Caenorhabditis elegans: one gene and its partners. The protein of the gene in region 3 purifies or fractionates together with the protein of the main gene of each other region. This does not show direct contact. Each region holds a gene or a part of one and is shown on either strand. Other genes may lie near its edges. The genes, in order: msra-1, alh-8, dhs-12 and E04F6.9.

The links.
Region 1: the proteins of dhs-12 (region 3) and msra-1 fractionate together in Caenorhabditis elegans (co-fractionation; one large-scale study listed by BioGRID). This does not show direct contact.
Region 2: the proteins of dhs-12 (region 3) and alh-8 fractionate together in Caenorhabditis elegans (co-fractionation; one large-scale study listed by BioGRID). This does not show direct contact.
Region 4: the proteins of dhs-12 (region 3) and E04F6.9 fractionate together in Caenorhabditis elegans (co-fractionation; one large-scale study listed by BioGRID). This does not show direct contact.

What each region holds. Positions count from the first base shown.
Region 1 is NC_003280.10:7,361,565-7,367,136, forward strand, and holds msra-1 (peptide-methionine (S)-S-oxide reductase), read right to left. Parts: upstream 2,477-5,572; 5' UTR 2,470-2,476; coding exon 2,221-2,469; intron 2,088-2,220; coding exon 1,713-2,087; 3' UTR 1,656-1,712; downstream 1-1,655. Other genes in the region: insc-1 (Protein inscuteable homologue C-terminal domain-containing protein), read left to right, coding at 1-19, 68-167, 219-464, 546-699, 747-849, 1,160-1,440, 1,489-1,610.
Region 2 is NC_003280.10:11,726,537-11,733,429, reverse strand, and holds alh-8 (putative methylmalonate-semialdehyde/malonate-semialdehyde dehydrogenase [acylating], mitochondrial), read right to left. Parts: upstream 4,376-6,893; 5' UTR 4,352-4,375; coding exon 4,325-4,351; intron 4,165-4,324; coding exon 4,108-4,164; intron 4,054-4,107; coding exon 3,881-4,053; intron 3,834-3,880; coding exon of another isoform or gene 3,824-3,833; coding exon 3,316-3,823; intron 3,258-3,315; coding exon 2,808-3,257; intron 2,754-2,807; coding exon 2,397-2,753; 3' UTR 2,232-2,396; downstream 1-2,231. Other genes in the region: F13D12.8 (Col_cuticle_N domain-containing protein), read left to right, coding at 1,060-1,171, 1,607-1,753, 2,011-2,204; F13D12.5 (uncharacterized protein), read right to left, coding at 5,104-5,346, 5,394-5,493, 5,541-5,928, 5,981-6,191, 6,238-6,364, 6,417-6,613. UniProt on the Caenorhabditis elegans protein: Probable malonate and methylmalonate semialdehyde dehydrogenase involved in the catabolism of valine, thymine, and compounds catabolized by way of beta-alanine, including uracil and cytidine.
Region 3 is NC_003282.8:10,142,397-10,147,829, reverse strand, and holds dhs-12 (NAD(P)-binding protein), read right to left. Parts: upstream 2,582-5,433; 5' UTR 2,580-2,581; coding exon 2,451-2,579; intron 2,403-2,450; coding exon 2,160-2,402; intron 2,117-2,159; coding exon 1,823-2,116; intron 1,776-1,822; coding exon 1,674-1,775; 3' UTR 1,608-1,673; downstream 1-1,607. Other genes in the region: pigs-1 (GPI transamidase component PIG-S), read left to right, coding at 1-82, 183-630; T14G10.8 (SH2 domain-containing protein), read left to right, coding at 898-951, 998-1,099, 1,147-1,536; msp-38 (Major sperm protein 38), read left to right, coding at 4,090-4,473; gst-4 (Glutathione S-transferase 4), read right to left, coding at 4,823-5,092, 5,139-5,266, 5,311-5,403.
Region 4 is NC_003280.10:7,209,629-7,214,776, reverse strand, and holds E04F6.9 (Periplasmic protein), read left to right. Parts: upstream 1-2,617; 5' UTR 2,618-2,620; coding exon 2,621-2,704; intron 2,705-2,750; coding exon 2,751-2,975; intron 2,976-3,019; coding exon 3,020-3,097; 3' UTR 3,098-3,152; downstream 3,153-5,148. Other genes in the region: E04F6.8 (Cuticle protein), read left to right, coding at 3,398-3,484, 3,634-3,858, 3,905-3,979; E04F6.15 (DeHydrogenases, Short chain), read left to right, coding at 4,508-4,564, 4,694-4,953.

The DNA of each region.
Region 1 (5,572 bases), on a different chromosome or scaffold from region 3:
ATGTTCAAGAGTTACAAAAGTAAATCTATTATTGAAACAAATTAAATGTTACCTTACGTTTTTCCAGAAATCGAGATAAAGGAATAATTGACATGAATAATATGACAAACTTTTTTGCGATTCTTCTCAGAAAGTCTATAGAATCAGTACTTTTGGTGTTTGTGAGGGTAAGTTACTTTTAGTTTAACTATTCAATTCATTCAAATATTTAATTTCAGATAATATCCAAGAATCTATGTGAAAGTAATGGAAAAGATCGTCTGACACCTATTTGTTTAGAGCATCTTATTCATATTTGTTTATTTGGAGATGAACTTTGTATTGAAGCAATTCAAAAAGGATGCATCTCATCAGTTATTCGAATTATGAAGAATGATCAACCACAGGAGAACACTCTTAGATTTTTACTTCGAACATTGGCAGTGTTATGTGGAGTTTCAAAAGGAGCACTTGCTTTGCTCACGGTAATTAGATATATTTTATAATCAATACTTTTCAATACAAATTCAATACAAATTCAATCAATACAAATTGATTAATTTCAGCAAGGAGGCTTGGATTTGGTTATTGATAGACTTTTATCCATTTCCTCATCAATCTGTTCCGTCGAGGCAGCTGGTATTCTGACACAACTTACCAATCCTCAGTCTGCATTCATTCGGTTAAATCATGTGGAACCAATTATATCCAGACTTTTGGGTAACCAATTTAAATATAAAAATTGGAGACTAAATAATTAATTTCAGATCTAATAGATCAATGTAAATCAGGTGACTCTTTGCTTTTGGCAACCGCTGCATTGAACAATGTGACACTTCAGAACCCAAATGGAGTTGATATTATGTACAGGTTTGTTGAATTTTAAGCATTTAACTATTTTCGCAAAAGCTCAGTACAAAATTAAATTTGAACCAACATTAAATTGAGCTATAGCACGTAATTGTAGAAAATGAATGCAAAATTTCAAGGCGAATTCCTTGTTCTAACTTTTGTAGCAATTGCTACAAGTTACCTAGAAACTACAAAACGGTAAACCAGCCTACCAGATAAAACTGAAAACAGTCTCGAATTTAAAAAAAAATCTGAAAATTTATAGGATCGCTCTCTATTTTGGGATTTTGAAAAGTTTTTTGCAACATGTAAATGTAAATATTTTCAGAAATAATTCAATTCGTCGTCTGATATCTGCTTATAATCGAGAAAATTGTGCCACTGTCTTCGTCCAGGAACAAATTGTTACAGCCTTTTCTCGCCTTGCCGCCCGTCATTTAGATCATCAAATGGTTGATCAAAATGCAATTCCAGTGCTTCTTGAATTTTTATCCCTTACCCATCCAATCCATGCGGATTACTGTAGAAGGATACGGTACAAAGCTGCTGTATGTATTGGTACTTTAGCTAACAGTGAAATTGGGCTCAAAGCCTTGTATGGTAATAATGGTGAGATTTTCAGAATTATTCAACGTTTCATATATGTTCAAGTTACAGCCTACGCAATTTTGAGCAATGTGCTTTATGATGACAACAACTCTTCAAATCCATTTAATATGATATGCAACAATATTCGCACAAAGTTGGAATCTAAATACCAATCTGAAAGTGCAGTATAATATTCAAATATCTTCCTTTGTTAAACAAACAAACACAAGAATCTGTGATAAAATAAAATTCATTGAAAACCTGATAAAAGTTCGATTGTACATTCATATAATTTAAGCATGACAGTTTCTTGGATCTCCTCCTGACAGAGCATAGTCCTTCACCTTATTGACAAAAGAATCCTTTAATCCGTACTCTTTTGCAAGACGCTCAAGATCGTGGAAGTCCTGGAAGCCAGCACAATATGCGTTCAATTTTGTGGCAAGTTCTCCTTCAGCAACTTGAGTATCAAGAAGAGACAGTTCATCGAAAAGAATCTTCTTTTGACGGAACCAATATTTTTGATGGTAATCTTCAGCTTGATAGAACTTGTCCAATGGCTCAATATATGTTTCAATGTCTCCATGCTTGTCCTTTGCTACTTTCAAAGTTTCTTCAGCGACTTTCTTTTGGTCGTCATTTACGTAGAGAATCGCAGATTGGTATTGCTGAAATTGAAACGAATTAATTTGAAGTTTAAATGTATTTTAACCTAAAAAATTATAATCAATTAGAACTTACTTTTTGTTACGTTTTCCAGTAGAACAATATTTGAAACTTTAAAGTCAATTCGAAAATTACCTTCTTTCTCCTTTCAGCTGGGTTGTGATGCTTCCAAAAGAAGTTGGTGAGCTTTGAGTATTCAATAACTTTTGGATCAAAAGTGATCTCTGTGATTTCAGTATGATCCTTGATATTCTTATAAGTAGGATTTGGTTGTTTTCCTCCAGCATATCCAACTCGTGTCACCACAACTCCTTTCAGCTTCGCCCATGCAGATTCTCCCCAGAAGCACTGAAGACCAAAATAGGCACGCTCCAAATAAGCCATGTTTCACCTGAAATTATATCGGATTGAAAAAGGTTTTGAGTTTATAAAGGAATTAAAAAATTAGTAAACAATGTAAAAACGTATGTTTCACAGTCAATTTATATACAAATCGGGGCGGAATCAAAATGTGATTCCTGTAAATTTTGCGATTACATCAGAAAGAGGAAAGAGACGCAGAGGGAATCGATGAAGAAGACAAGTAGAAAAGAAAACATACAATGTTAGACGCAGGCATATAGACACGACATGCTTTATCATCATTCTGCCAGCAGTGGTAGACGAAGAAAAAGCAGATGGCCAGTCAGAAATGATGACATAGATCGCTTTTTGGTAAAGATGTTTCTTTTGATGATATTGAGTACACGTTGGGTTCAATGGACAATAACTGAGCTTTTCCATGAACTTTCTTTTGATCAAAATAGTTTCTAATTTTAGGCCCTGTATTTTTCGTTAGAAATTGCAAAATGTTCAATGTACAAATGAATAAGTTATACCTAGTTGACGGAGCTCTTTCACTTGTGAGAACATTGAACTTTTCCTCGTCTTACAACAATCGTTTTTTTTTGTTTATTCGATTAGCTAAAAAACAATTAATCAAAAAACTATGAAAAATAAATGAAATTTCCGAAAGTTTGAACCTACAGTACTCATTAAAGGCGCACGCCTGTTCGTATTGTACAAAAATCTGTCGTGTCAAGACCGGGGTTGGCTCAAAAACCCTAAAACCTCGTGTCTGGTTAATAAAGGATATTTCCAGAAAAAAAGTGAAATGGAAACCTAAGTTATTTCTGAACTATTAAAATATAGTGTGCTCTTGGATCTTGATAATTTACTATGACTTCAGCAGCTTTATCTAATTCCATGTCTTCTTGTTTTCGCAATGTATTTTGTATTTCACGGATGGAACGTTGACGAAGATAATCTAGATTCGCTAGTTCAGCAGTTATATCATCAAGAACTTGCATTGCTGCAGCAAATGTTCAATGCACAAATGAATAAGTTATACCTATTTGACGGAATTCGTTCACTTGTGAGGATGGTAGTGGGGGTGGAGTAAGACTGGCTCAGTCTGAACGTTTTGACCTACTTGCAAGTTAGTTTTGAAGCTCAAAAATAATGTTGTTTTTACAGACAGTCATTTGGACTACAAATCCACTGTGACACCTGCTCAGACAAACGCTTAGTCGTCTAATTAGATTTCAACCGTATTCAACGAGATTTCAACCATATTTGTTTAGAAAATCCATATTGCATTATATTTGCTCCATATTAGATTAGAAATCCATGCTAGATTAGATTTCCTCCATATTTCATTAGAAAACAAATCTAATCCAATATGGTCGAAATCTAATTAGACTACTAAGCGTTTTTCTGAGTGTGCCCACAGTACATCACTATTGTTTTATTGAACCGTTGTAGAAGTATACTATAATTTTCTACAATTCAATAGTTAGGCAATACAACATTCTAAATTCTCATTAAAATAATACTTGCCAGCAAAAGTTGCAAGCCCAGGCTCGGTTTACCAAATAACTTCTTGAACTCACGAAATTGCGTATCTTCAAACTGGCGTATCTTGAAAAATAAACATCCAGGAAACAAATGTTCAACTAACAAAATGATTAGAAATATTTTTTATTTTTTCTGCATTACTTTTCAGTGCAAAATACCAATTATTTGTTACACAGAGTCATTTTACCAAAAACCACTAAAAATTTTGTCGATTGAGTTTCAGAAGTAAAATGTTAATGAATAATAATTGCAAGATATAAACTGATAAAATGTGGAAAAATATCTTGCAATTATTATTTATTAATGGGGTTATTCAAGTAATGTAGCAAAATGTATTTAAATACATTTGTGACGTCACTAATGTATTTAAATACATGTTTTTATATACTTGAATACAGTTGTGACGTAATTAATCTACACTTTTTAATTTTCCGACACTACTTGAATAACCCCATAAGTTTTGTTATCTAAAATTCAATGGATGTTGAATTATGAATGGTAGAGCAGAACAGTTCTCAAAAATTTCGATGGGTATTGGGAAAATTTATTTGAATCAGTGTAACTCAACAAATAACTGGTATCTTGCAATGAAACTAAATGCAAAAAAAAGAAAAAATATTTTTAAACATTTTTTTAGTTGAACATTTGCTTCATAGACGTGGATTTTTCAAGATACGCCAGTTTGAAGATACGCTACAAATGCCTAGTTAGGCTTGTTCGAAAGCTAGAAAAATTCTCTACACAATGGCAGGTTTAACTTCAGAAATTTATTAGTAGATACTGAAAATTATGGAAAATACCAAACTAACTATGTTTTACAATATTAGATAAACATTGAGAAAAATTGCTCAAAAAATCTGACCGACATTTCTGTTGACCAATGTGAAGAGAAAAAGTTGAAATTTTGAAAAATCTCAAAATTTTTATTCGAGTAAAAATTTATAGTTAGGGTTATTTCTTGTTTTCAGTGACAATTTTGAGAGCTTCTTGTACATGCCATACCGGGTGAACTTGAATTTTCGTTTTCATCGAATCTGGAATCATCGAGTAGTTCGAATCCGGCACTATGACTGCTTCATACAATCCGTCAATAGCCGCCTGGACTTTATCAAGAATTCCACCAACCTGAAAATAGGATCTTTCTCTCTCTTCTTTCCTTCTCTAGTACTAGTTTTTAAAACATACAAAAGAAAATGTGTTCAAAAAAGTTGGGGGTTTTCATAAAAATAAAGAACTTACTTCATAAACGAAACCGAAAACATCAAGAGAACCCGTGATGGCAAAACGGGGTGATATCTTAACTCCTGTGAAGAGAGCCAACAACCCAACCGCAGTCGCCAGGGTACCCGATGATCCATCCAATCGGCCATGATAGTAGAATTCGACAACAACTTGTCTATATTGCACCGGGAAGCCCATAGCAACTGCTTCGAAACGAGCGACTTGATACGCTAAATGCGACTTCCGTTCTATTTCTGGACCCATTTCACCTTGACTATGAACTTCGAACGAGTGTTCGTTGGAAATCTCATATCGGCATTCTGAAAAATATATGATCTTGTATCATCATTTTACTAGATATGAAGCGCTG
Region 2 (6,893 bases), on a different chromosome or scaffold from region 3:
GCCGAGTTTTCACTTCCGCGGCCCGACGGGATTGCGATTACCAGGCCAAAACAAAAACGGCATTTGGAGTCTCGTTTGGCCACGCCCACTAATAAAATGCTACGTGTCCGCGAAAATATGGCAATTTAGCAACTTGAGAAAACAGGAACTTGATATCAGTTTTGTGAAAGAAAGAAAAACTCGGCCACTAATTTTTTTCGCGGCCACATAGATTTTTTAACAGCCACAAAAAGACAGTGGCCGAGTTTTATAACATTGGCTTTTATATAAATTTACCTTATCGTCGGCTTCATTGCTAAGCCTAAGCCCAAGCCTAAGTCTAAGTCTAAGCCTAAGTCTAAGCCTAAGCCTAAGCCTAAGCCTAAGCCTGACCCTAAGCCTAAGACTAAGCCCAAGCCCAAACGTAATCGTAAGCCTAGCCTATGTCAAAAGCCTAATACAGATCCTAATTATTTTCTTATTTTCCTTATTCTAAAAATTGAAAAACAAATTACAGAGCCCCGTTTTTTCCCTAATAACCTAGGATTAGAAGCTACAGTACCCGTACCCAATTTTCTTCCAAAAATCCCATTTTCCCGAACGGATTTGCATTCTCTCCTGTCATTCCCATTCATCATTAGTCGAGAATGTTTTAGGGAAAAAGGAGAAAAGAGAAAAAGGCGAGGCGCCCGCCGCAAAATTAATGGACTCTCTCCTGCTCTGTGTGCATGTGTGCTCCGAGTTGAGCAGTCCCGTTCTGCTTCGACGAGTCCATATGTTTTGTATGCGAAGTAGGGACTTCCGAATTGATTGGGCCAATATTCATTATGTATCGACGACGGCCTTTCCCCTCTCTCGTATGACAAATTCTTCTTGTCTTCAAACGCTCATAACTTTATTGCCAGGCTAGGTAGACAAAAACTGTCAACTGGAAAAATGTAGTACACAATTTTTTCTACATTTTCTACATTTTTTTATTACCTACAATGGGAAAGGAGATATAATTCATTTTGTTTCCCTAAAATTCCATCTCAATTTCCAGATTGATCGTCATAACATTCAGCACCTGCTCATGATTGAATGCGTTGCGTGGTTCGTATTATTCTACTGACCTGTTTCATTTTTGTCGCCTTCATTTATTTGGCCGTCTCACATGCGAATTCCAAAATTGTGATCGCTTTTGATGCAAATGGTAGGCTTTTTTCGAAATTTCGTTATAGTAACCAGTTGTTTAAAGGCGCAAAATTTTATAAAACTTATTTAGAGTTAAAAAAACATCGAAAATTATAAGTTATTACGTTTTTTCATAAAAAAAAGGTCTCGACGCGATCAAAATATTTTCAAATCTACCCAACAAAAAGTATGCACCTTTAAAATTACAGTAACCCATTTCCCGTTATTTCGCAATCTTCGCAAATGAATTTTTACAAAATCTGAAATATATCAATATTTTATGAAAAATACGATTTTGAAAAATTCAGCGAGAATTTCACAACTACAGTAGTCTTTAAAAGCGCACACAATTTTCCTGCAGAAAACTTCCGGTCGCGTCGAGACCCTAGCAGTACCGTATTTTTTGGTGAAAAAATTACAAAATTCAACAATATTCCTCAAAATATTTTTTCAGACGAGGAAGCCCGCCGAATTCTGGACAGCGCGATCCCGTCGCCGACGGTCGCCAGTCCATTCAACAACAATGCACCACAGTCGATGTCCGTTTCGGTAGCATTGGTGCTTATCGTATCACTTATCAGTGTTGCTCTTCTTATCACAGGTTAGATTATTATGAAGACGCAGAAAATGCGCTCCACGGCCAATTGGAACCGCTCCGCCTCAAATAGTTGGGTCTCGTTAGGAAAAACTGGTAACTTGAAAGTTACCACTTGAAGCTAATTGAAAATGCTGAATTTTGGTAGAATACCTAATGAGACCCACGGTTAGGAGGCGGAGCGTTTTCAATTTGCCGTGGAGGGCGTTTTCACGTTGATTGGGCATTTTTTCTACGTCCCAATAATATTTTATATTTTCCAGGTATAATCATAATCGCCGTCACGCTAGATCCAACTTCAAATAGTGAGGAGGATGAGGAATCGGATTTGGAAATCGACGAACCCACGGCGGCTCGTTCCAAACGGAATGATAAACAGATTGCCGATCCGAATAGTTACTATCCACGTTTTGATTATGATTTCAATCATTCGAATACGATTCTCTCTGAACTGTGATTATTTTCCCCCATTCCATTTACGGGTCTAATCGTCACTTTTATGATAAAATGTGTATTATATATGAACAAACAAGAAATGAGAGGTTGCAAAAAACCATGGCAATAAACGTTATTGAACAAGAATAAAAGAACCAAGAAGTGATTGTGTGTGGGGATGGATGAGAGAATTCAGAATTCACAGAATTTCAATTTACTTGAGCTGTGGGAACGACATTTGTGGCTTCAGCTCGGTGAGCGACTCGTTCCAGTATTGAGTGACAGTCTTCCATTGAGTGTAGAACTGGATTCCGGCCTTTCCGTAGAAGTTGAGATCTCCGAGGAATGAACCACGCGAGCCGGTGAACGAGAACATTGGGAGTGGAACTGGGATTGGCACGTTGATTCCGATTTGTCCGACATCGACTTCGTTGGTGAACTTTCTGGCGGTGGCTCCGTTGCTGGTGAAGATGGCCGTTCCGTTTCCGTATGGGTTGTTGTTGATGATTTCGATGGCCTCGTTCAAGTTCTCGGCCTCCATGACGACAAGGACTGGGCCGAAGATTTCTTCCTACAAAAAATTAAATATTAAATTAAACAAATTTAAAAAAAAACAAAATCTTACTCTGTAGCAAGTCATATTTGGCTTGACTCCAGCGAGAATCGTTGGTCCCACGAAGTTTCCATTCTCAAATCCTGGAACAGTGATATTGGATCCATCAAGTGGAACCTGAGCTCCCTCCTTCTTGGCACTCTCGATAAGACGGAGGACACGGGCCTTGGATTGCTTGGAGATCAGTGGTCCGATGTCGGTATCCGGCTTCCATCCAGCGTTGACCTTCAAGTTCTTGGCCTTCTCGACGAGTTCTGGGAGCCAGGCGCGAGCTTCTCCGACGAGCACAGCGGTGGTGAGAGCCATGCAGCGTTGTCCGGCGGCTCCGAAGGCGGCAGCGGTGAGCTGATTGAGGGTCTGTTCTTTGTTGGCATCAGCCATGATGACTCCGTGGTTCTTGGCTCCCATGTTGGATTGGACGCGCTTTCCGTTCTTGGCTCCACGCTCGTAGATGTGTTTTCCCTGAAAAAATCATGAAAATTGATTAATGTTCATAAAAAACAAATTCAAAAAAACTTACAGCAGCATCTCCTCCAACAAATGAGATAGCCTTGATATCTGGGTTATCGCAGATAAAGTTAACAGCAGAGTGCTGTCCGTGAATAATATTGACACATCCATCTGGAACTCCGGCCTCCTTGGCAAGTTCGACAAGAAGCTGAGCTGCTCCTGGATCCTGCTCGGATGGCTTGATGACCATAGTGTTTCCGGTGGCCAAGGCGACTGGGAACATCCACAATGGGATCATAGCCGGGAAGTTGAATGGACAGATTCCGGCGGTGACTCCAAGTGGGATTCTGTAGGAGTGGGTGTCCATGTCGCGAGAGACATTTGGAAGGGTCTCTCCCATCATCAGGGATGGAACGGAGCAAGCGTGCTCGACGACCTGAAGACCTCTGCTGACGTCTCCCTCGGCATCTGGAAGGGTCTTTCCTTGCTCAATGGTGATGCTCTCAGCGAGCTTCTTCATGTCTCTCTTGATCAAGGCTTGAAGTTTGAACATGCATTGTTGACGGGTCAGTGGGGATCTGGAAACTTCTATTATTGAAATAAAAAAAAAAGATCACACGGGATTCAAGACTCACGTGTTCTTCCAGGTGTTGAAGGCATTCTTGGCCGAGTCAACAGCGGCTTGCATCTCAGCTTGGGTGGCGTTTGGCACCATAGCGATGACCTCGTTGGTGGCTGGATTGGTGAGCTCCACGAAGTCGGTGGTCTTCGATTCAACAGCTTGTCCATCGATCCACAGCTTGACAGTCTGAAAAATTATGGAATTTGGATTTGGAAACTTAAGATCAAGCCTGAAACTCACTGGTGCGGCGGCAGCAGACTTCGATGTGCTGAAGTGGGCGAGCTGTTGGCATTTTGGCTGAAATTAGAATATTATTTGAAGTTTTGAAGTTTTGATTGTTTGATTTTCGTTTTCTTTTTCAATGTGTCACCCCATACGACAACTGTCGCACAGACTGCAAGTGATGTGTGAAGTACACGATTTTTTGTTAAAAAATATTATAAAAAGAAACTCCTACCTGAACACGAGCAAGACGAGACAACATTCTGGGGTACCGCAAGTTTTAGAGCTGAAAATTAGAAGATAATGACTGAAAACGCACGAGAAGAAAAATTGAAAATCACAAGAGATGGGCGGTCGCGTGGTGGTTCTGACGATTCGGATAATGCGAAATGAATGAAAACTAAACATTACTGATCACGTTTCGAATTTTGAACTAAGAAATAAATAAAATAAGCCACAAAATACACGCGAACATTGAAAATTAAAAGGTTAAAAGCTCTATCTGCGAGTTTTTGAAGTTTCAATGCTGTTGATAAGACGACGGGAGGAGTGGCAAATAGGACAGAAGAAGAAGAACAGTTGCTTTTCTCTCTCTCTCAGCAAAAAAAGAAGAAAAAGAAATAAAAAAGAGTCAGAGAGTGGGAAAAGTGATAGTGCAAGAGACTAAGAGACGGCCACAGCACGTGGAGAGACCTGCAACTGCCCACCATTTGACCCGTGTGCACTTGGAGAAACGTGATCGATGCGTCTCGAAAACTCGAATACAAAAATAAAATAGTGTTGGTGAATAAACAACGTTAAGATAAAGATCATTAATTAAAACAAATAAAAATGCGGAATATTTAATTTTATATAAAAAAAAGAAACAGAAAGTGCTAGGAAATGTGACAAAAAAAAAAGTAAAAAATTAAAAATTATGAGATGAGAATATGACAGTGTCTAGTGTCTAGAAGGATAGAAGGCTAGAAAAGATTGAAAAAGAACGAGAATGCTATAAATTCAAATAAAAATGATTTAATTCCACTTGTCGACGGAGACATCCAAAAGTCCTGGCTCATGGAAACTCGCTGGGAAGCTGCGCTGTTTCGCGATGAAGATGGAGGCTTCAGTCTCCTGATCCTGATGATGAGAGGCCTCGTCAGCCGAGACAAAGGACGATCGGAGCCAAAAGATGTAGACGCACTGGAGAATCACGAGAAGGATTAAGACGACGCAGAACACGATCAGCCACATCATCGCGTTCACATTGCTGTCGGTCTGGAAATATATTTAATTTATAAATTTCTTCAACACAACCAGCTCACCTCAGACGGATTATTGCGAGCCAGGTAGTCTGCCTGCTCGTTTTCACAGCTCTCCTTGTTGTAATTCTTTCCATCTCTCAACATGCAATAATCGTTGGCCCTGAAATTATGAATATTAAATTCGAAGATCGATGATTTCTTCAAAACCTGATGATGAGGAGCTTGTTGGTCTTCGGAACAACACTGTAAATCGTCTCCGCGTTACAAGTGATACTCCATTCCGAATCGAGTGTTGTCAGCGTTGAGGACAGGGTCTGATGCGTTTCGTTGACATCTCTCACACTCGTCTCGTAGAATACTCCGTTCGAGACACCTTGGAGTTCGCCGCTCAACAAGGAATTTTCGATTCGTCGTCCAGCCATTTTTCCGGTGATAATCGGCACGACATCTTTGATTTTTGCTTGGAACATCTCCACGTGGCCATTAATTCGCTCCTTGTAGTAAACTGCATCGGTGTATGGATCCTCGACCCAATCGAACAGTCCATTCACAGCGTGGCCAGTGTACTTTGCGATGTGCAGCTTGTCGAATCGATCTGAAAATAAAAAATTATGATTAAAAGGCAGGCTTATTAAGCAAGTGATTACCGCTGAAAATGCCATGCAAGTAAATTTGCTCGATATCGTAGAATGGAGGAGCTGAAAAGTCCAGGTAAAGCATGTGTCGAGTCGTGTCGAACATTGAACGGGCCAGATTTCTCTTCGCCTTTCCTCGAGCCCCGTCTTCGCGGTAGATCGACTCTCTTGACCCAATGTTCTCCTCCCGCTTCCCGGAGTTCTTCTCGAAGCCATTCGACATCTAAAAAATACGAAATTCAACACTTCAACCACTATAATAAGCATACATGCAAATCCGTGATCTTGATATTGTAGGTGAGACTGTCTTCTGTGACAGTCAACACCCTCGGCGCATGGATGCCATCCGGATCTCGGACCAGGTGAACGCCGACAAAGCGGTAGGGAATAGGCTCGCTGAAAATTAACATTTGTTAAATTATTTTCGAAATTTTCCGGCAAAACAAACCTTTTCGGGGATTCCATGACCCGCGGGCATTGTCCCGCTTCTACGTTCGCTTCGGCGAATCTGTAGTTGTCCTGCTGCGCGATGAGCAGGTACTGCTCGGTTCCCACAACCTCGGCGACGGGCGAGTGAGCCGCCTCCGCAGCCGAGTGGAACGCGAGCAGCGCGAGCAGCAGACGAAGAATTGCTCGTCGGCTCATTTTCTGAAAATGTCGAAAATGATTTTGAAAGAAAATTTCGCGTAGAAAGAAATAAAACACGGGAAAAATGACTGATATTAAAAATGAGGTAATTTTATAAAATTGAAAATTCTAAAAATCGCGCGCATTTGAAGGCGCGTTGAATTTTTCTATTGCGTGGGTCTCGCCACGATTACCGTACCCAACTTTATTTATTTAAAAGTCGCTATGTTTTCAAAGCGAAATCGATTTATTTTTCCATTTTCAGAGTAAAACTTCGGTTTCAAATTAATTTTTCTGG
Region 3 (5,433 bases):
GCCATGGAGTTGCCGTTGCCTCCTGGGGAGCAGTTCTTCCGAGAAATGAGGCAACTGAATCTAGAGCGATTGCTGCTATTCGGTAAGTACCAAAATTGTTTTTTTATTTGGAACGTTCCTTTGAACAAACAAATCAAATCCCTACACTGTAAAAGTATTTAAGCAAATTTTTTTTTTTTCAGAATTCAAATGGGAATGGATGCTGAACTTTCACATGGATGGCATCGCCCACCTGTTGCAATCTGTCAATGGGAAGTTGCTCGAGCCCGTCTACGTGCTTCTGTTGATAATGCGATGCGAGCTGCCAGTGCTGTTCGAGCTCTTGATCAGCTTGCACAGAAAATATCGAATATTGTTATTAACGATGACGTGGCTGATCGTGCAACTCGAGCTGTAGAAATCCTTAACGATGTTGTGCGTCCTGGTCGCATGCTTGATTTCGAACGTCTACTTGAAGCACGTCGTTTAGCAGATTCCGCTAATTCGGATCACTCCTTACTTGCAATGCTGTATTTCCCAATGGATCAGAGAACTGCCGTACTGATTCCTCTTGCAGTACCGATTGTGTTGCCAATTTGTAAACTGGTCTACGAAATTGCCAAGATTACTGTTTTTTGGGGATATTTGTGATTGAAGAAATCTTGATATGCGATAACGTTTTACGGGAAATGTAACGAAACTAGTTTCACTTTAATTCCAGATCTGTTTGATAATAATAAATAAATTTTAATGTATTCAAGATAAAAACGTGAACTTTTGTTTTCACGTTAGTGTCTTTGCAAAATGAACAAATGTCATAAAACACGAAAGTCTACGAATTCGAATAAATTCATTTTTACACTACTCAACAATTGATCTGCTGCTTCTTTCTCCACAATCTACAACTTCTGAAAAATGATGAAACCACCGATTTGCCGCCGGATGAGCCTGCCACCAGTTCTCGCAAAGAAGGTGAAATTTGTTGCACAATATATTTTTAAAGAATGAAAGTTTGCAGGAAGGTGAACGAATTCAAGTTCCAGAAGGTGGAGAATTGGTATGCTACCGAAACCAAGAAGATCAACATCTTTTCTTAAAAATAGAATACTCGCGCGAAACGGTTAGTTTTCGACGGATCTTTTCAGAGATTCAAATTCCTGTTTTCAGATGATTAAACTTTCATCGTCTGTTTTCTGTTATGCACGACCAACTGGCCTCAAAGAAGTTTCCGATGAGTTGCCGGAACTACTTGGACTACCCCATTCGATTCCACTGACAGATTCTCCGCCGAATTTTGAATGTCTTCCTGAACCATTGGCACATGTTTCGGGATGCAATTCACATTTCAGTATGAACCATCCTCCTCCACTTCTGAGCCCTCTACGTGGCCCTGTAACTGAAGCTGATGAGGCGATGCGCACACTCAGTAGTCATCGAGAACTTCAGAAGCGGCTTCAAAACATGTCAATGCGAGGAGAGTTGAGCCCTTCAGGATGCCTGGTTGACAGTTGTGACACACCTGCAATTCGTCAGATTCGCAATCCTCAGTTCACTTGATTCGAAAACATTCTAAATACTGACATTTAACCGCATTGGTTTCGTTTAATAAATAACCTTGCGATCATAAAATGATTTTTAACTTTTTTTATTCACATATCACTTATGTTCCAAACTGAAAAACAGACAAAGAACGTTTATAATGGCATCTCTTCTAGTTCACGATTGAAGAGACCTCCTTGGTGACCACCATTCAGCTTTGCAATGCTCGCAACAATTTTTGTAACAGACTCGTCAACCTGAAAGCATTACACAGTGAAAATTATACCAGTCACGACATTCCTACCGAAATTTCAGCATTCGATCCTCCCATGTCTGTCTGCACCCATCCTGGGTGAATATTGGTGATCAGAACTGGAATTTCGAGACGCTTGAAGTCTGCAGCCATCGAGCGAGAGAAGCTTAACATAGCAACTTTGCTCATTTTGTAGGCAAGAAGTGAGTTCGACGGACCGGATCCACGCAGATTGAGTGCTTGTGATGCACAGTCAGAGCCAATGTTCACGATTGCGGCACGGTCAGGTGTGAGGGAATCTCCAGAGACGTGGCTAGCTGCTTTTTGGAGAAGAGGAAGGAAATGCTGCAAAATGAGAATTTATTATTATTTAAATAATAATATTTACCTGCGAAGCTAGCAGTGCGCTGACAGCATTCACATCGATACAGTGCAAGACCGAAGCACGATTTGGAGCAGATGTAGTTCCATATGATTCAATGAGTCCAGCATTATTAATGAGCAAGTTCAGACCACGATCTCCGACTATTCCAGAAACTGATTTAACAGAATTCTCGAGACTTCCATCGTTGGAAACGTCAACTGCGATCAAGTGAAGACGAGCATCAGCTTTTGCGAGAGATTGAAGCTCCTGGAATAGAAAATATGTTTAAATATCCAAAAAAAAGTTACAACTTACTTTAGCTCCATCGATATTTCTTGCTCCAGCAACAAGAGCTTCGACGCCTGGAACTTTCAAGAGCTCTCTTACAAGCCCCAATCCAATTCCTCTGTTTGCTCCGGTAATGAAGATAGTTTTTGGTGCCATTTCTGAAAGAATGAGTATGAACAGGTGAAGGAAAAAAAAGAAGTAATAAACTCATTTCTGAAGAAGATTAATCTGAAATTGAGAAAAATTGAGCTAGCTAGCTCAATTTTCTAGAAAAAATAAAAACTGGGAGACTTCAGTGAAGCGCATTTGCAACGTCTTTTGCAACCAAGGAAACAAGTCTAGAATAATTATTCTGAGATTTATTAACGACTTAATGAACGTTTTAATGTTTTAACGATTTAATGAACGTATTAACGATTTAATGAACTACGCGTAGTCTAATTTTTATAGAGAAAACTCAAATATGTACAGTAAATAAGTTTTTTTTGGGAATACCAATTTTTTGGTGAGGATATAAATAAAGGAACGTATAAAAGGAACGAAATCAAATATTTCAATTGCAATTGAAAAATCACAGCGGTTATATTTGAAAACTAGATCATGGTGTGTGAGGTTACCACTCAATAAAATGAAAAACTCATTGTTTACAACACATTTTCAAATGTTTTCTCATGTTTCTCTAACAACCAACTCTAACTTCAAGGGTTGTCATCATTTTTCTATGTTCTGTGGTTTTTGACCGTTCAATTAGATTGTGACTGGCGGATAAATGTCCAATGACCGTAGAAAAAAGTGTTCAGCGGTTTGATTGAATGGTTGAAATGACACGAAAACAAGGAGTTGTACTAAGTTCGAGAATTCTGTTAAATCAGTTTCTGAAATAGTCGGAGATCGTGGTTGCTCATCAATAATGCTAGACTCATTGAATAATATGGAACTACATCTCCTCCAAATCATGCTTCGGTCTTGCACTGTCTTGCTGACAATTTGACAAGTCTCCTGAAGAATGGATTCTTAGATTTCAACAAAGAAAAGAAGTTGGAAGAGTTCTATAACAAGATTCATTCAATTCCAGAAATTAAGAATTATGTGGCAACAAGAAAGGATAATATTGTTTAAAATGGAATTATTAAAGTCTGAATTAAACAGTGAGTAAAACTCAAGTGAGGCTACATTTAGTTTCAAAGAAAGAACAAGCATGCATAAAAAACTATTTTATTTCACAAGGACTCTATGGGTTGTACTCGATTGGGAGGTTCTTACGACGAACCATACCCCTGGAACCATTCACGACGGAATTGCTTGGCAGCACCATCCGGGGTGTTGGTCCACTCAAGAGTGATACGGTCTTTGTTGGTATCCTCTTGTCCGAAGGCAAAAGCATCGCAGAAAACAGCAAGAAGCACAGCTTTTTAGTGAATTAAGAATCCAGCTGAAATGTGTTTTGTTAAACCACTAATTAATTATTCCGGTGTGAAATGTAACGAGTTTCTAGAATAAATCAAATTCATCATTATTCTAAATAACTATTTTCCATTTTTCTGTGAACTCTACATGACAAATCTAGAACAAAGATCTGGGGCAGTGATGAGAAGCTTGCTATAAATTGGGCAGATTTTGTCATAATCTTCAGTGCGAGTTCTCATAACTCCTTCAACAAGTCGCCATGGCCCAATCCGTCCCACCAGGAGACATCCAAACCCAACCGGGTACCAAGATTGTCTTCAATGCTCCATACGATGACAAGCACACCGACCACATCAAGGTGATCAACTCATCGGCTCGTCGTATTGGATATGGTATCAAGACCACCAATATGAAGAGACTTGGAGTTGATCCACCATGTGGAGTTTTCGACCCAAAGGAAGCTGTGCTTCTTGCTGTTTCCTGCGATGCTTTTGCCTTCGGACAAGAGGATACCAACAACGACCGTATCACTGTTGAGTGGACCAACACCCCGGATGGCGCTGCCAAACAATTCCGTCGTGAATGGTTCCAAGGAGACGGTATGGTTCGTCGCAAGAACCTTCCAATCGAGTACAATCCATAGGATGTGTGAACTGGGTTTCTAAACAATAAACTTTTTCCAAGTATATGTTCTGTTTTTCTGTTTTAATCTGCAGATTGAATATTTATTAAGACTCAAGCGAACAAGTTTTGTATAATAATAAAAATAAAATGCCAATTACTCAAATCCTGCCACTTTCTGTCACTGCCATAGTTTTTCCCAAACTGGATCTTTAAGAATAACATTTTAATATTTTCAAAGATATTTGATAATTAGATAGTTCGGTGCTTCAGGATAAACACATAATAATAATTTATTACGCTCTCTGGGAGACGTGATAGGAACGATATTATTTTACTACATACATAATTCAGACTTAAATAATTCGATTTTAAACAATACTATCCTTTCTTGTTGCCACGTAATTCTTAATTTCTGGAATTGAATGAATCTTGTTATAGAACTCTTCCAACTTCTTTTCTTTGTTGAAATCTAAGAATCCATTCTTCAGGAGACTTGTCAAATTGTCAGCAATCACAATATCAGCCCAAGTCAATGAGTCTCCAACGAGGAATCCTGATTTACTCTTGGCCAGGAACTTATTGATTATTGCCAAGAAATCATCACGGGCTGGTTCAACAACTTCAAAACGTACTTTGTTCTAGAATAGGATACCCAAATTAAGATGCTATTTTAAGAATGCTTACAATATGATCAGCGTCACTTCCATAGAAAACGGAAGAAGTGAATTGACGGAAAAAGAATATGAAATCTCTGTATTGATCTACAATTGAATCAGCGTAAGCTTCTTCCTCTGCAGTTTTTCCAGCGAGTCCTAGATGTTTAAACATTTTAAAAAGAAAAACAACAAAACCTTACCAAATTTTCTTGCCAAGTATCTTGTGATAGACATTGACTGACCGAATTGTTCTCCATCGACTTGTAAAATGGGAAGCTGGCCAAATGGAGTCGCTGGAAATTTGAAAAGTTGAAAATTGTTAT
Region 4 (5,148 bases), on a different chromosome or scaffold from region 3:
GATGGATCGGTTCCTTCATTGGTTTCAGGTACTTTTGAAGTGATAGTTTAAATGTGGGAACAGAACAAATAAGCGTATAAACAAACAAATAATCCAAGTCTGAGAGTGAGAAGAAACGCAAAGTAACACTTATGAATAATAAGAAAGTCATTAGGAAACAATTTTCTCAGAACACAACATTCGTGTAATTCTAAAACACTGTGATATACTGTTTAACTAGGTTCGAGCGGGGAAACTGTGACCTACTGAACAAAACTTTCTAACTTCTTCCAACATTCATTTCAGGACCTTCCACATTTTTACATTTTCCTGCATCACCTGCCCCAACATATTCCTTTCGGGAAGATGATTGTCAGACCGATATTGAAATATCTGAAGATGACGATGATCCAACAATAACCCTATCCAATTGGCGTCATTCATCTCCAACTCTTTCAATTTGTACTCCAATTCTTACTACTCGTCGATCGACTTCTTATTCATCAATACCAACCATCGATCGTACGATTAGCGAAGACTCGATGCTGGTGATTAAACGTTTGTAGTTTTATTTCTTTAAGACAATTTATTTATTCAAAAACTCTTCATTCATTACGGGTAGATAAATTTTCTAGTTTTTCCATTCTATCAACATAGACCCAATGCTTCTTTCCTTTTCTTTTTACCGTACGATTTCCAAAACATTCTGCCAATTTGTCATTTGCTATATATTTCCTCCATAAATGTTTCCCTTTTTTCCTTCATCCCAATCCTTTTTTTTCTGGTAATAATAAATTCCTTTTCTGGGCAAAAAGCAACAAAATGTGAGCCAAAAAAGGCGACTGATGATAGATGGTGATGATTTGAATGTGACTGGAAGGAGGAGAAGAAGACGTCGAAAAAAGCGGCAAGCTAAGAAGAGTGATGGTGTACATGGGACGATGTGGAACAACTAATCCAGGAATGAAATGATAGTCAACCACTGACATGTTATTCACTTGAAAAAATAGTCCCTTAAAGGGAAATGATATGGTGAAGTTTAATAAAATTCCCCAGAATACTCCACTTTCAAAAAGTTTCAGGAAGTCTTATTGGATAATTCAAAATTCCTTCATGGCAAAGTTTTTATATATATTTGTAATGGATTGTGCAAACATGAATATTAACAGTTTTATTTATTTTGTTATCATTTTGTCATAGCCTAGGTCAATCTCGGTAGACGATAGGTTTTCAAAATAATCAAACAAATGCATCTGATTGTTTAACTTTTTGTACGTTTTTCATATACTCTGATGATTCAGATCAATTTGATCTTTTTAGAAGAATGTTCAAAATTTCCACACTTCGAAATCCTGTTTTCACAATTCATTTCATCCATTTTTATGAGTTGGAACGATAAGAAAAGAATCTTAACGATGAAAGTGTCAACTGTTGTTACTGACTCATTCACTTGTTGTGACGGAAACTGATCCGAAGGTCGGAAAATTTTCAAGAATAACACAAAGTTTGTAGAGTATAAAAAGAGCTGAAGAATCTGTAAGGCCTCAGCCTTTGAAACGTTATTCATTTAACTCACAGAACGTATATTTTATATCTGATGTTTAAATTTTTTATTATGCGTTGTAATATTCTGATAATAAGACCGTTTTTTTTTCTAGTCCTAAAAATTATTAGTCGCCTTCAAGTTCGCCTTCAAATTGATTGTTTTAAAACCTGTTTCAATCTTGAGCACACAATCTCGTCTTTTGTGAATTAGAAATAATAATTCATCAAAAATATAGAAGGTGTTTTTGATCAGTTAAAAAAATTCAAAAAAGAAAATTTCCGCTCTATTGATTTCTTACTTTCCATCACAACATAATTCAATTAAGATAGGGACTATAAAAGTTTGCTTGGCCACAAAATGGCATAAATCGGTTTCAGATAAGACACATTCGATTCACCTCTTTTCTTATTTACTAAACTCTTATTAGCGGTAAAGCTAACTACACATACACGTAATTTTTTTGAGGCATAATTATGTATTATCAGTAATTTTTGGAACTCTAAAGTACTCTAATTTATCAATTAAATTATCTTTCCAACTAAAAAACGACATATTAAAAATCGACTAAACATCCTGTAAACTTCACATCTATCAGTAAAAAAAGCTACGCGCCTCAAAACACGACCTTCTCAATCCCATCATTGTGAACTTTCATAGTGTTCTCACATTGATCTTAAGAACAAATAAACTTCCTGATTGTTCCATTTTCAATACTTCTCCAAATGACATTCTTTGAACAGTCTAAGGAAACGAATCCTCATTTTCTAGTTCCGTGTTCCAACTCTGTAGGATTTTTTGTATAACTCTGATAACAAGAAGGATATTTTCTCTCACTCTAGCCAACAAACAAATGATAAAAACAAAGTGATTGATTGCAAAGTGGGCTGGGCGTTTAGTTTAACCAGCGGAGGTGCTTACCCTATTTTTTTCATTCGAAGGCAGTATCTTCTGGCTGACGACACTATTTATTGTTGTTCCAAGAGAAAGGTTTCATCACTTTAAGATTTTGTGCTTTTTCTTTCAATTGTTCTTCTGAATTTCGTGTCAATTCACAAAACTTTTTTCATTCTTGAAAATTAAATAAAATTTCAGAAAATGAACCGCTTCATTCTTTCCGCTTTCCTCCTTGTTGCCATCTTTGCCATATCCGATGCTGCCGTTGCTCAACAGCAGGTTAAGGTTTGTTGTAACTCCTATTTGAAAAATAACAAAAAATCATTTTCAGGACGGAGAAAAAGTTGAAATCGATGCTTTCAAGGGAGCCAAGGCAATCAAGAGAACCGTTGCCGGTGGAGATCAAATCTTCCACCTTGACGGAGATAACAAGGGATCATTTGTTGATGCTAAGGGAAAGAAGATTGAGTCAACCAATTATGAAGCTAATAACGGAATCCTTATCATTAAGAAGTTCACCAAGGCCGATGTTGGAACCTACTCCGAGCACCCAGCTGTAAGTTTTCAGTGGGAGAAATAATTAGAAATGTTTTATTTCAGAAAAACACCGAAACCAAGCACGCTGATGGATCCATCTCCGCTGTTCCAGGACTCACTCTTGATATCTCCCTGCAATAAACAAATTTCATTCGGAATGTGTTCTAATAATTTCTCTAAATAAAATTTTTAAAACAATTTCGTGCAAACTTTGCAAAAATAAACAAAAATGTGAGTCAGAACAGAAATAGGCGTGACCTCTATTCAGTCAACAGGTGACCAATAAATCAAGTCTCATTCGTCACTATTTAATGGGTTCTAGAGATGTTTTCTTTCTTCATTCTTTTTTCTCTCAAAATCATCTGAGAAAACTTTGTTTCAGGAGCTTTTTGAATTGTTTTCAATAAAAGCTTTCCTTAAATTTTTTTTATCATTTTCAGAATGAGCCGGTTTTTGATTTCTTCGTTTATACTGATTGCCTTTGTTCTTCAGTTTGGAGAAGGATCAATTGCAGTTCAAGAAGTTAAGGTTTGTAAAGTTTTTTATCTGACAATAGTTTAAAAACTGTTGTTCATGCTTCTACAGGAAATTTTAAATGTATTTCTCAAAACTACTCGAAACTTCAAAAGTTTTCTTATTTTGAAATACCAAGTAGTATTTTACAAATTCCATTTTAGGATGGCGAAAAAGTGCAAATTGAACTTTTCAAAGGAGCCAAGGCAATCCAGAGATCCGTTGACGCTGGCGAACAGATTTTCCATTTCGAAGGAGAAAACAAAGGAGTGTTTGTGGATGCTAATGGAAAAGCTATTGACTCGTCAAATTATGAAGAGAATAACGGACATTTGGTCATCAAAAAGTTCACAAAAGCTGATGTTGGATCATATTCTGAATATCCAACGGTATTGAATTCCTGAAATTCCCGAATTGAAAAAGTATTAATTTCAGAAAATTATCAAAACGAAAACGGATCATGGATTTTCTGGAGTTGCCGCGCCAGTTCTCAAACTTTCTCTTCAATAACTTTTAAAAACTGTTTCAATAAATTCTTTTAAATAACAATAAATTGTTTGCAATATTTCGTAAAAACCTGTTTGAAGGAATTATTTAACCATTATTTGGAAAAGAAATTTGAATGTAGTAACTGTTTCACGCCCACAAAAAGTTCTGTTAAAATATCTCCAGAGCAAATTCCGCACTGATCTGTTAAATATTTTCTGTAACACTATTTCTATTTTTACTATTTTTTTCGGCTATTTAAAATTAAACCGCAAGACAAATAGGGAAATTAGTGTGATTTTTAATTCCAATAAGGCGAATCTTATAGTAAGTTTTTTTCTTATTCGAAAGTACTACTTTACTGATAAGAAAATGAAAAATCATTCAACTTGCATCGATCATTTTCCTCGTTTCACCTGAAAATATGACATGAATATAGAGATAAATATGTCAATTTAGCTACAGTTTTACCAATATTCATTGAACTTCACATCATAATTTCTCAATATAAAACAGGAAATTCAGAAACTCATCAATTTTTTCATTTTCAGAATGGTTGCTGATGGTAAGAGGAAACGGCAGTTTCATTCAAGAACAAATGCACTAGAAGTAAGCGTTCTTTTAGTATTAAATGTTTCATCAATTTCCTAAATTTAAGTTTTAAAAATTCGATGATGTCCTACTCCCTAGTGTTTTTAATCTGTTTCAAATTCTTGCTATAATTGAATCCGTTTTCAGGTATTGGATGGTATTGACCTTTCTGGTAAAACATTTGCAATTACTGGAACAACATCTGGGATCGGAGTTGAGACTGCTAAAGCATTGATTTTAAAAGGAGCTCACGTTGTAATGATAAACAGGAATTATACAGCATCTGAAGCATCGAAGAAATCTCTCCTAATTGAAACTCCAAATGCTCAAATTGATATTGTTCAATGTGATTTGAATTCACTATCATCTGTGAAGAAGGCAGCAGATGAATACTTAGAACAGAAATGGTAAGCGATAAAGTTGATACATTTAAAAACTTAAAATGATCTAAAGAGTTCCGAAAAACCGAAGTTAGAAATGGAGAAATATTTTGGTGTCTCTATATTCAAATTTTCTCTGAGACAAGACGGGTTTTAATCAGAGATCTAAAATTTTAGTGAAATTTTGAAAACCCATGTTAAGTTATTTCCGTTTTAAACTAA